Linked DNA regions of Saccharomyces cerevisiae S288C. The gene in region 1 interacts genetically with each later gene. Each region holds a gene or a part of one and is shown in the gene's direction. Other genes may lie near its edges.

Region 1 (5,689 bases):
CTTTTGTGGAGAAGAGCTGTTAAAATGATGTTGGACGGACCCACCTAAACCATTGTTCATATTTTGGTTGTTGCTATTGATACTGTTGATACTGTTGTTAATGTTACTGCTGTTGCTGTTGTTGTATTGACGGTTTTGAGAGTATGGACGGCGGTTGCTGTTGCCGTTATTATTATTTCTTCTGTTGTAGTTACCTCTATTGTTGTTTGAATCCCTATTGTTGTAGTATCTTTTATGCCCAGGGCCGTTACTATTAGAGTTATTGTTGGAGTTAATTTGCTGCTTGACCTTGTCAATTATATTATCTTGCAATTTGATAAACTTGATAAAAGTCCCTCTAATATAAATTTCGTTCAATTTTACGGCTTTACTGCTCTCAGCATTGTCTTCTGAATTAATTGCGCTTTCTTCACTATATTCGGTTACATTAGATAAAGTAAGGTTCATCCAGTTATCTACGTTGGTCAATATCCCTTGTATAATTTCACCGTTTTTCAATTCTATTTGCATTTGTTGTCCCTTCGCATTTGTTAAAAGATATAAAGGTAGCATTGAGAAAAAATATTCTATTGTGTTTCTTTTCAGTTCGAGTTGAAGATTTATCAGTTTTTCAACTCTGTTTTACTAATACTACTTCGTTAATTTACTTTTACGATTTCCTTCTTTACCGCTTCCATCATTAGGAAGGTCTATGATACTACGATTTCACGAAAGAAAGCTGCAATAATTGAACATCATTGCTACTCCGTAAAACATGATAGTAAGAGTGCTTATCACGTGACACGTGTGCGGCAAATTTCGTAATTGATGATCAAAATGCGTGTGGGCGGCTACAATGCGGAATTTGCCTTTTTCATAGTACAGGAAACTGGCGGTAAAGGAAAAGTAGTACTTTAAACTCATTTAAAATTACTTATCACTATGAATATCTTTAAATTATTGTTATACATAATAAACTATCTATTAAAAAAAAGATGCTACCCAATTCACGTTGTCCATGGTTATTTTAGAGCCTAAAAATAAAAGGCAGTAGGTTTAGAGGGACTTCAGTACAAGTAGATAACGAACGAAGCAATTACTCTGTGTACGGTGGCGGAAAAAATGAAATGTTACTTAAGAAGGAGGTAATATAAGTACATTACATTTCAACCGCATTGTGACTGCGTACTTTAAACGATAGGTGACTGCGGATCTTAGGTCGTTTAGCAGCATACGAAAATTAGTTTTACTAAACTAGACATCTAGTAAAAGGCTGTCGAAATCTCTCAATTTAAAGAGAACCTGCTACTGACTATAAATTTTGTCACTACAAATTATTGGTTTAATCTAGCCTTCATTATGGATACAATTACCTTCGGCGGCTAAAAACAACTTGATTTTGTTACCCGCGTTTGAAGTGACGCGTCACTAACCATGACGCGAAAGTTAATTATATTCAGCTCCCCGCCTGCTTATTTCCCGTTTAGGAAATAAATGGTTAACCTAACAAAAAAAAAAGAGGAACAAGGACTAAGAAGCACGTCAACGTGAAAAACGCACAAAAGATATTATAGTTATTGCCATCCTTTAGCATTGGTTTAGCATATCAACTAATTGACTAATATTTGCTGCTAAATTCAACTGGAAGCTTTTTTTTTTTTCGAGATAATAAAAAAAGAAACTCTTTAGTGTATTGTGTTATTTTTACTATTAATTGTTGTTACAGCAGAATCACATCTAGCATTGGTCGTCGCTTTTTCAAACGATTCTTCCTCCACTTACCCTTTGAAAAAAAGGTACATTATTTCACGTTATTTGATATATTGTCAACAATAATTGCTCTTTGCCGAAAATTAACTCTTCTTTCTTTCTCATTTCCCTTCTGTCCCTCTTGCGTAGTTCTAAAAGGTTGATTTATTCGAGAAATCATGCCATTTGATGTTTTGATATCAAACCAAAAAGATAATACCAATCACCAGAACATCACGCCAATATCAAAATCAGTTCTTTTGGCGCCTCATTCAAACCATCCAGTGATTGAAATAGCTACGTATTCAGAAACCGATGTATACGAATGCTATATACGTGGGTTTGAAACTAAAATAGTGATGAGAAGAACTAAAGATGATTGGATTAATATTACCCAGGTTTTCAAAATAGCTCAATTTTCGAAGACGAAAAGAACTAAAATACTGGAAAAGGAATCAAATGATATGCAACATGAAAAAGTTCAAGGTGGGTATGGTAGGTTTCAAGGTACTTGGATCCCACTGGATTCAGCGAAGTTTTTAGTCAATAAGTACGAAATAATTGACCCTGTGGTCAACTCCATCTTAACTTTTCAATTCGATCCAAATAACCCTCCACCAAAGAGAAGCAAAAATAGTATATTGAGGAAGACTTCGCCGGGAACGAAGATAACTTCTCCATCGAGCTACAATAAAACACCAAGAAAAAAGAACAGTAGTTCATCAACATCGGCTACAACTACAGCTGCGAATAAGAAAGGCAAGAAAAATGCATCGATCAACCAGCCGAATCCAAGTCCTTTACAAAACCTTGTTTTCCAAACTCCTCAACAGTTCCAAGTAAATTCATCAATGAATATAATGAACAATAATGATAACCACACCACGATGAATTTCAACAATGACACAAGACACAATTTAATAAATAATATTAGTAACAACAGCAATCAATCTACTATTATTCAACAACAAAAATCCATTCATGAAAACTCTTTCAATAATAATTATTCGGCAACTCAGAAACCTCTTCAATTTTTTCCAATTCCGACAAATTTACAAAACAAGAACGTTGCTCTGAATAACCCTAATAATAATGACAGTAATAGTTACAGCCATAACATCGACAATGTCATTAACAGCAGTAATAACAATAATAATGGCAATAATAATAACTTGATCATAGTTCCAGACGGACCTATGCAAAGCCAACAACAACAACAACATCATCATGAATATTTGACGAATAACTTCAATCATTCCATGATGGACTCCATTACAAATGGCAATAGTAAAAAAAGGAGGAAAAAGCTGAATCAATCTAATGAACAACAATTTTACAACCAGCAAGAAAAAATACAAAGGCATTTCAAATTAATGAAGCAACCCTTATTATGGCAATCCTTTCAAAATCCAAATGATCACCATAATGAGTACTGTGACAGTAACGGCAGCAACAATAACAACAACACTGTAGCATCCAATGGCTCCTCCATTGAAGTATTTTCATCAAATGAAAATGATAACAGTATGAATATGTCTTCACGATCTATGACACCGTTCAGCGCAGGAAATACTTCATCTCAAAACAAGTTGGAAAACAAAATGACAGATCAAGAATACAAGCAGACGATATTAACAATACTATCATCGGAAAGGTCTTCTGATGTAGATCAAGCGTTGTTGGCTACTTTATATCCGGCGCCCAAAAATTTTAACATAAATTTTGAAATTGATGATCAAGGTCACACTCCACTCCATTGGGCTACAGCTATGGCGAATATTCCTTTGATAAAAATGCTAATTACCTTAAATGCTAATGCATTACAGTGTAATAAGCTCGGTTTTAATTGCATCACAAAATCAATTTTCTACAACAATTGCTACAAGGAGAATGCTTTCGATGAAATAATATCCATCTTAAAAATATGTCTTATAACTCCCGACGTAAATGGAAGATTGCCATTTCATTATTTAATTGAATTGAGCGTTAATAAGTCCAAAAATCCAATGATAATAAAATCTTATATGGATTCGATAATATTGAGCTTGGGTCAGCAGGACTACAATTTGTTGAAGATATGTTTGAACTACCAAGATAATATAGGGAACACTCCACTGCATTTATCTGCTTTAAACTTGAACTTCGAGGTTTACAACAGACTGGTATATCTTGGTGCGTCAACAGATATATTGAATCTAGATAACGAATCGCCTGCGTCAATAATGAATAAGTTTAATACTCCGGCTGGCGGGTCAAACAGCAGAAACAACAACACCAAGGCAGATCGAAAGTTAGCTCGAAACCTTCCTCAAAAGAATTATTACCAACAACAGCAACAGCAACAGCAACCACAAAACAATGTCAAAATTCCAAAAATTATAAAAACTCAACATCCTGATAAAGAAGATTCTACTGCAGATGTCAATATAGCTAAAACAGATTCTGAAGTCAACGAAAGTCAATACCTGCATTCCAACCAGCCAAATTCTACAAATATGAACACTATTATGGAAGACTTGTCGAATATTAATTCTTTCGTGACGTCGTCTGTCATTAAAGATATAAAGTCTACGCCGTCCAAAATTCTTGAAAACTCTCCCATTTTATACAGAAGAAGATCACAGTCAATATCAGATGAAAAAGAAAAGGCAAAGGATAATGAGAATCAAGTTGAAAAGAAAAAGGATCCCTTGAATAGTGTGAAAACTGCCATGCCATCATTGGAATCGCCTTCTTCCCTTCTGCCGATACAGATGTCTCCACTAGGAAAGTACTCAAAACCGCTTTCGCAGCAGATCAACAAATTAAATACAAAAGTTTCTTCTCTACAAAGAATAATGGGTGAAGAAATTAAAAATCTGGACAACGAAGTAGTAGAAACCGAATCCTCTATTTCTAACAATAAGAAGAGATTGATTACAATAGCACATCAAATAGAGGATGCTTTCGATTCCGTATCAAACAAAACTCCCATAAATTCGATATCAGATTTACAATCAAGGATTAAAGAAACATCGTCAAAGTTGAATTCTGAAAAGCAAAATTTTATTCAAAGCTTGGAAAAATCTCAAGCTTTAAAACTGGCTACAATTGTCCAGGATGAGGAATCAAAGGTTGATATGAATACTAACTCAAGTTCACATCCAGAAAAACAGGAAGATGAAGAGCCAATTCCAAAGTCAACGTCGGAAACTTCTTCTCCTAAAAACACCAAAGCGGACGCCAAATTTTCTAATACTGTACAAGAATCATATGATGTAAATGAGACGTTGAGACTAGCAACGGAACTAACTATTCTACAGTTTAAAAGAAGGATGACAACATTGAAAATAAGCGAAGCTAAAAGCAAAATTAATTCATCGGTGAAGTTAGATAAATACAGAAACTTGATTGGTATCACAATTGAGAACATTGACTCAAAATTGGACGATATAGAAAAGGATTTGAGGGCAAACGCATAAATTTTAATTCACAATGTACCAATAATTTTTACTATATTATCAGAGTTTTTAAATTTTTTTTTTTTTTTTTTGGTAGCAATTTTTTACATATTTGTATAGTCACTTTTCTCATTGCGCTTGAGTTGCTTCAAGTGCATGTCAACAAACATTTGAACTACTAAACTTAGACTATTATGGTTAGCCCTTTGCTAATTATCAGGATGTCTTTTATTACGATTGTGCTTTGTTTTCGTACAATATGATGAATGGAAAGCGCGATGAGATGAGGTCGAAAAAAAAAAAAAAAAAAAAAAAAATAGAAACATCCACTTATCCATAGATCCTTCATTTTATTTGTTGTCAGGTTTGGTATTGATTTTATTAGTCAACAAAAAAGAATAGGCAAGACCCCGCAAGGATCCTTCTTCTCGTTTCTGTATATTACCAAAATCCTGCCTTAGCAGCATAAAAACTGAGGGACGAAAAACACTTTTTTAGTATCAAGTAGTATAATGGATCAA
Region 2 (3,670 bases), on another chromosome or scaffold:
ATGGAAATAGGGCCATCCTCAGGCAGGCTTCCACCTTTTTCAAACGTACATTCTCTACAGACTTCAGCAAACCCAACCCAAATTAAGGGAGTGAACGATATATCTCATTGGTCACAGGAATTTCAAGGTAGTAATAGTATTCAAAATAGAAACGCGGATACAGGAAATTCAGAAAAGGCATGGCAGCGTGGCTCAACAACCGCATCAAGCCGGTTTCAGTACCCTAATACCATGATGAATAACTATGCTTATGCTTCTATGAACAGTCTTAGTGGATCAAGGCTCCAATCGCCTGCTTTCATGAATCAACAACAGTCTGGTCGTTCTAAAGAAGGAGTCAATGAGCAAGAACAACAACCCTGGACAGATCAGTTTGAAAAGCTGGAAAAAGAAGTCTCAGAAAACTTGGACATAAATGATGAAATAGAGAAGGAGGAAAATGTGAGTGAAGTAGAACAAAACAAACCAGAAACTGTTGAGAAGGAAGAAGGAGTATATGGAGATCAGTATCAATCTGATTTCCAAGAAGTGTGGGATAGCATACACAAGGACGCTGAAGAAGTCTTGCCATCCGAATTAGTTAATGATGACCTCAATCTAGGAGAAGACTACTTGAAATATCTCGGCGGTAGAGTAAATGGGAACATCGAGTATGCTTTTCAATCTAACAACGAATATTTTAATAATCCTAATGCTTATAAAATTGGCTGCCTACTGATGGAAAACGGAGCCAAATTGAGCGAGGCAGCGCTAGCATTTGAAGCTGCTGTTAAAGAAAAACCGGACCATGTGGATGCATGGCTAAGATTGGGTCTAGTACAAACCCAGAATGAAAAAGAGTTGAACGGCATAAGCGCCCTCGAAGAATGTTTAAAGTTAGACCCAAAGAATCTGGAGGCAATGAAAACTTTAGCGATAAGTTATATAAACGAAGGTTATGATATGAGCGCCTTCACAATGCTGGATAAATGGGCAGAAACTAAGTACCCGGAAATTTGGTCAAGGATCAAGCAACAAGATGACAAATTTCAAAAAGAGAAAGGGTTTACCCATATTGATATGAACGCTCATATCACAAAGCAATTTTTGCAACTAGCAAACAATTTAAGCACAATAGATCCTGAAATACAACTATGCTTGGGTCTCTTATTTTACACGAAAGATGATTTTGACAAAACCATAGATTGCTTTGAAAGTGCGTTGAGGGTGAATCCTAATGACGAACTCATGTGGAATAGATTAGGGGCTTCATTGGCCAATTCCAATAGATCAGAGGAAGCAATCCAAGCCTATCATAGGGCACTACAACTAAAACCTTCTTTTGTTAGAGCTCGCTATAATCTGGCGGTATCATCCATGAATATAGGCTGTTTCAAAGAAGCAGCAGGCTACTTATTAAGTGTTCTAAGTATGCATGAAGTGAACACTAATAATAAAAAAGGAGACGTTGGATCTCTCTTGAATACGTACAATGATACTGTTATAGAGACTTTGAAGAGAGTTTTTATAGCGATGAATAGAGATGATTTACTTCAAGAAGTGAAGCCAGGCATGGACCTGAAAAGATTTAAAGGAGAATTTTCGTTTTGATATGGTTCTCCGCAATTTTATGTTCTCGCATCACTGCCCAAATTCATTAGCATTAGCAGTACAAGCTATCCTATATATAAGGCAATAAAAAATCTTATAAATACTATCAGCAAGATTTCAACCTTGGAAAACATGCATTCAAAGGTCATAATTGCTGCTCTATTTACAGTCGTCCATAATGACATTTCTCTTTGATTATTTTCTTGTTTTTTCGCTCTTCTCAAGTGGATGTTACATAACAAACAAAACAGAAAAAATTGTTTAAATATAAAGTTTAAAAGTTATCTTTGATTCCGCACCTGAATTTTTGGATTGAAGGCCAAAGGAGGTTTATCAGGGAGAGAAAAGCTCTCTATTTATTTTTATAAGGAATAATTGTGCATGTACAACTATACAATATGTCTAGTGTACCTTATAATTCCCAACTTCCTATATCCAACCATCTAGAGTACGATGAAGATGAAAAGAAGAGCAGAGGCTCAAAACTAGGCCTGAAATATAAAATGATATACTGGAGGAAAACTTTATGCAGTTCGCTAGCGAGATGGAGAAAGCTAATACTATTAATATCTTTAGCTTTGTTTTTATTCATATGGATAAGCGATTCCACCATAAGCAGAAATCCATCTACCACAAGTTTTCAAGGCCAAAATAGTAACGATAATAAGTTGAGTAATACTGGTTCTAGCATCAACTCCAAAAGATATGTACCACCATATTCTAAGAGATCAAGATGGTCGTTTTGGAATCAAGATCCTAGGATTGTCATTATATTAGCGGCAAACGAAGGTGGTGGTGTATTGAGGTGGAAAAATGAGCAAGAATGGGCTATCGAAGGCATATCAATAGAAAATAAGAAGGCCTATGCGAAGAGACATGGATATGCGTTGACTATCAAGGATTTGACAACGTCCAAAAGATACTCTCACGAATACAGAGAGGGTTGGCAAAAAGTAGATATATTGAGACAGACGTTCAGGGAGTTTCCTAATGCAGAATGGTTCTGGTGGTTGGACCTGGATACTATGATAATGGAGCCTTCTAAATCATTAGAAGAACATATTTTCGACAGATTGGAAACTCTGGCTGACAGAGAATTGAAAAGTTTTAATCCCCTAAACCTAAGAGACGACATACCCTATGTCGATTATTCAGAGGAAATGGAGTTTCTAATAACACAAGATTGTGGAGGCTTCAATTTGGGCTCATTTCTGATAAAAAATAGCGAATGGTCTAAGCTGCTTCTAGATATGTGGTGGGACCCCGTTCTGTATGAACAAAAACATATGGTTTGGGAACATAGAGAACAAGATGCGTTAGAGGCATTATATGAAAACGAACCGTGGATTCGTTCGAGAATAGGATTTTTGCCCTTAAGAACGATCAATGCATTCCCACCGGGAGCATGCTCTGAATACAGTGGTGACTCAAGATACTTTTACAGTGAGAAAGACCATGATTTTGTTGTGAATATGGCCGGATGCAATTTTGGCAGAGATTGCTGGGGCGAGATGCAGTACTACACCACTTTAATGGAAAAACTGAATAGGAAATGGTACACGAGATTTTTCTTCCCATAAAATGGAAGTTATCAATATTGTAAAGAGAAGCATTTACAAGCTTTTATTTTTCTTTTTAATTTCCACTACTGGTTCTGCTTTAAAATGTTGTTTTATAATTTATGTACATTTAGGCCTATAGAAGATTCTTTCAATAATATGCTACACATTCTTTTATTTTTCCATCATATGTTGGAGTTTATGCCTCCTCGGCAGGAGTTGGGCGGTGCGAAGAGAAGAAAAAGAGTGAAACTAAAAAAAGGAATCTGCCTTTGCATAAGTTCAAAAGTGCAATTTTAGTGTTGGATTTAAACGGGAAAAATTGAAATGGCCATCGAAACAATACTTGTAATAAACAAATCAGGCGGACTAATCTATCAGCGGAATTTTACCAACGACGAACAGAAATTGAACAGCAATGAATACTTAATTCTTGCTAGTACACTGCACGGTGTATTCGCCATCGCGAGCCAGCTGACTCCGAAGGCATTACAGCTAACTCAACAAACGAACATCGAAAA

What was found.
Region 2: mutations in SWI4 (region 1) and MNN10 together harm fitness more than expected from each alone (negative genetic interaction), as found in Saccharomyces cerevisiae (4 studies listed by BioGRID).

Annotation. Positions count from the first base shown.
Region 1 is NC_001137.3:382,095-387,783, reverse strand, and holds SWI4 (SBF complex DNA-binding subunit SWI4), read left to right. Parts: upstream 1-1,907; coding exon 1,908-5,189; downstream 5,190-5,689. Other genes in the region: U6 snRNA complex subunit LSM4, read right to left, coding at 1-552; karyopherin KAP123, read left to right, coding at 5,681-5,689. UniProt on the Saccharomyces cerevisiae protein: Part of a complex involved in cell-cycle-dependent transcription. SWI4 and SWI6 are required for formation of the cell-cycle box factor-DNA complex. The repeated element in the upstream region of HO (5'-CACGAAAA-3') is called the cell cycle box (CCB).
Region 2 is NC_001136.10:950,812-954,481, forward strand, and holds MNN10 (alpha-1,6-mannosyltransferase), read left to right. Parts: upstream 1-1,988; coding exon 1,989-3,170; downstream 3,171-3,670. Other genes in the region: PEX5 (Pex5p), read left to right, coding at 1-1,590; TRAPP subunit TRS23, read left to right, coding at 3,477-3,670. UniProt on the Saccharomyces cerevisiae protein: Required for polarized growth and efficient budding. The M-Pol II complex possesses alpha-1,6-mannosyltransferase activity and is probably involved in the elongation of the mannan backbone of N-linked glycans on cell wall and periplasmic proteins.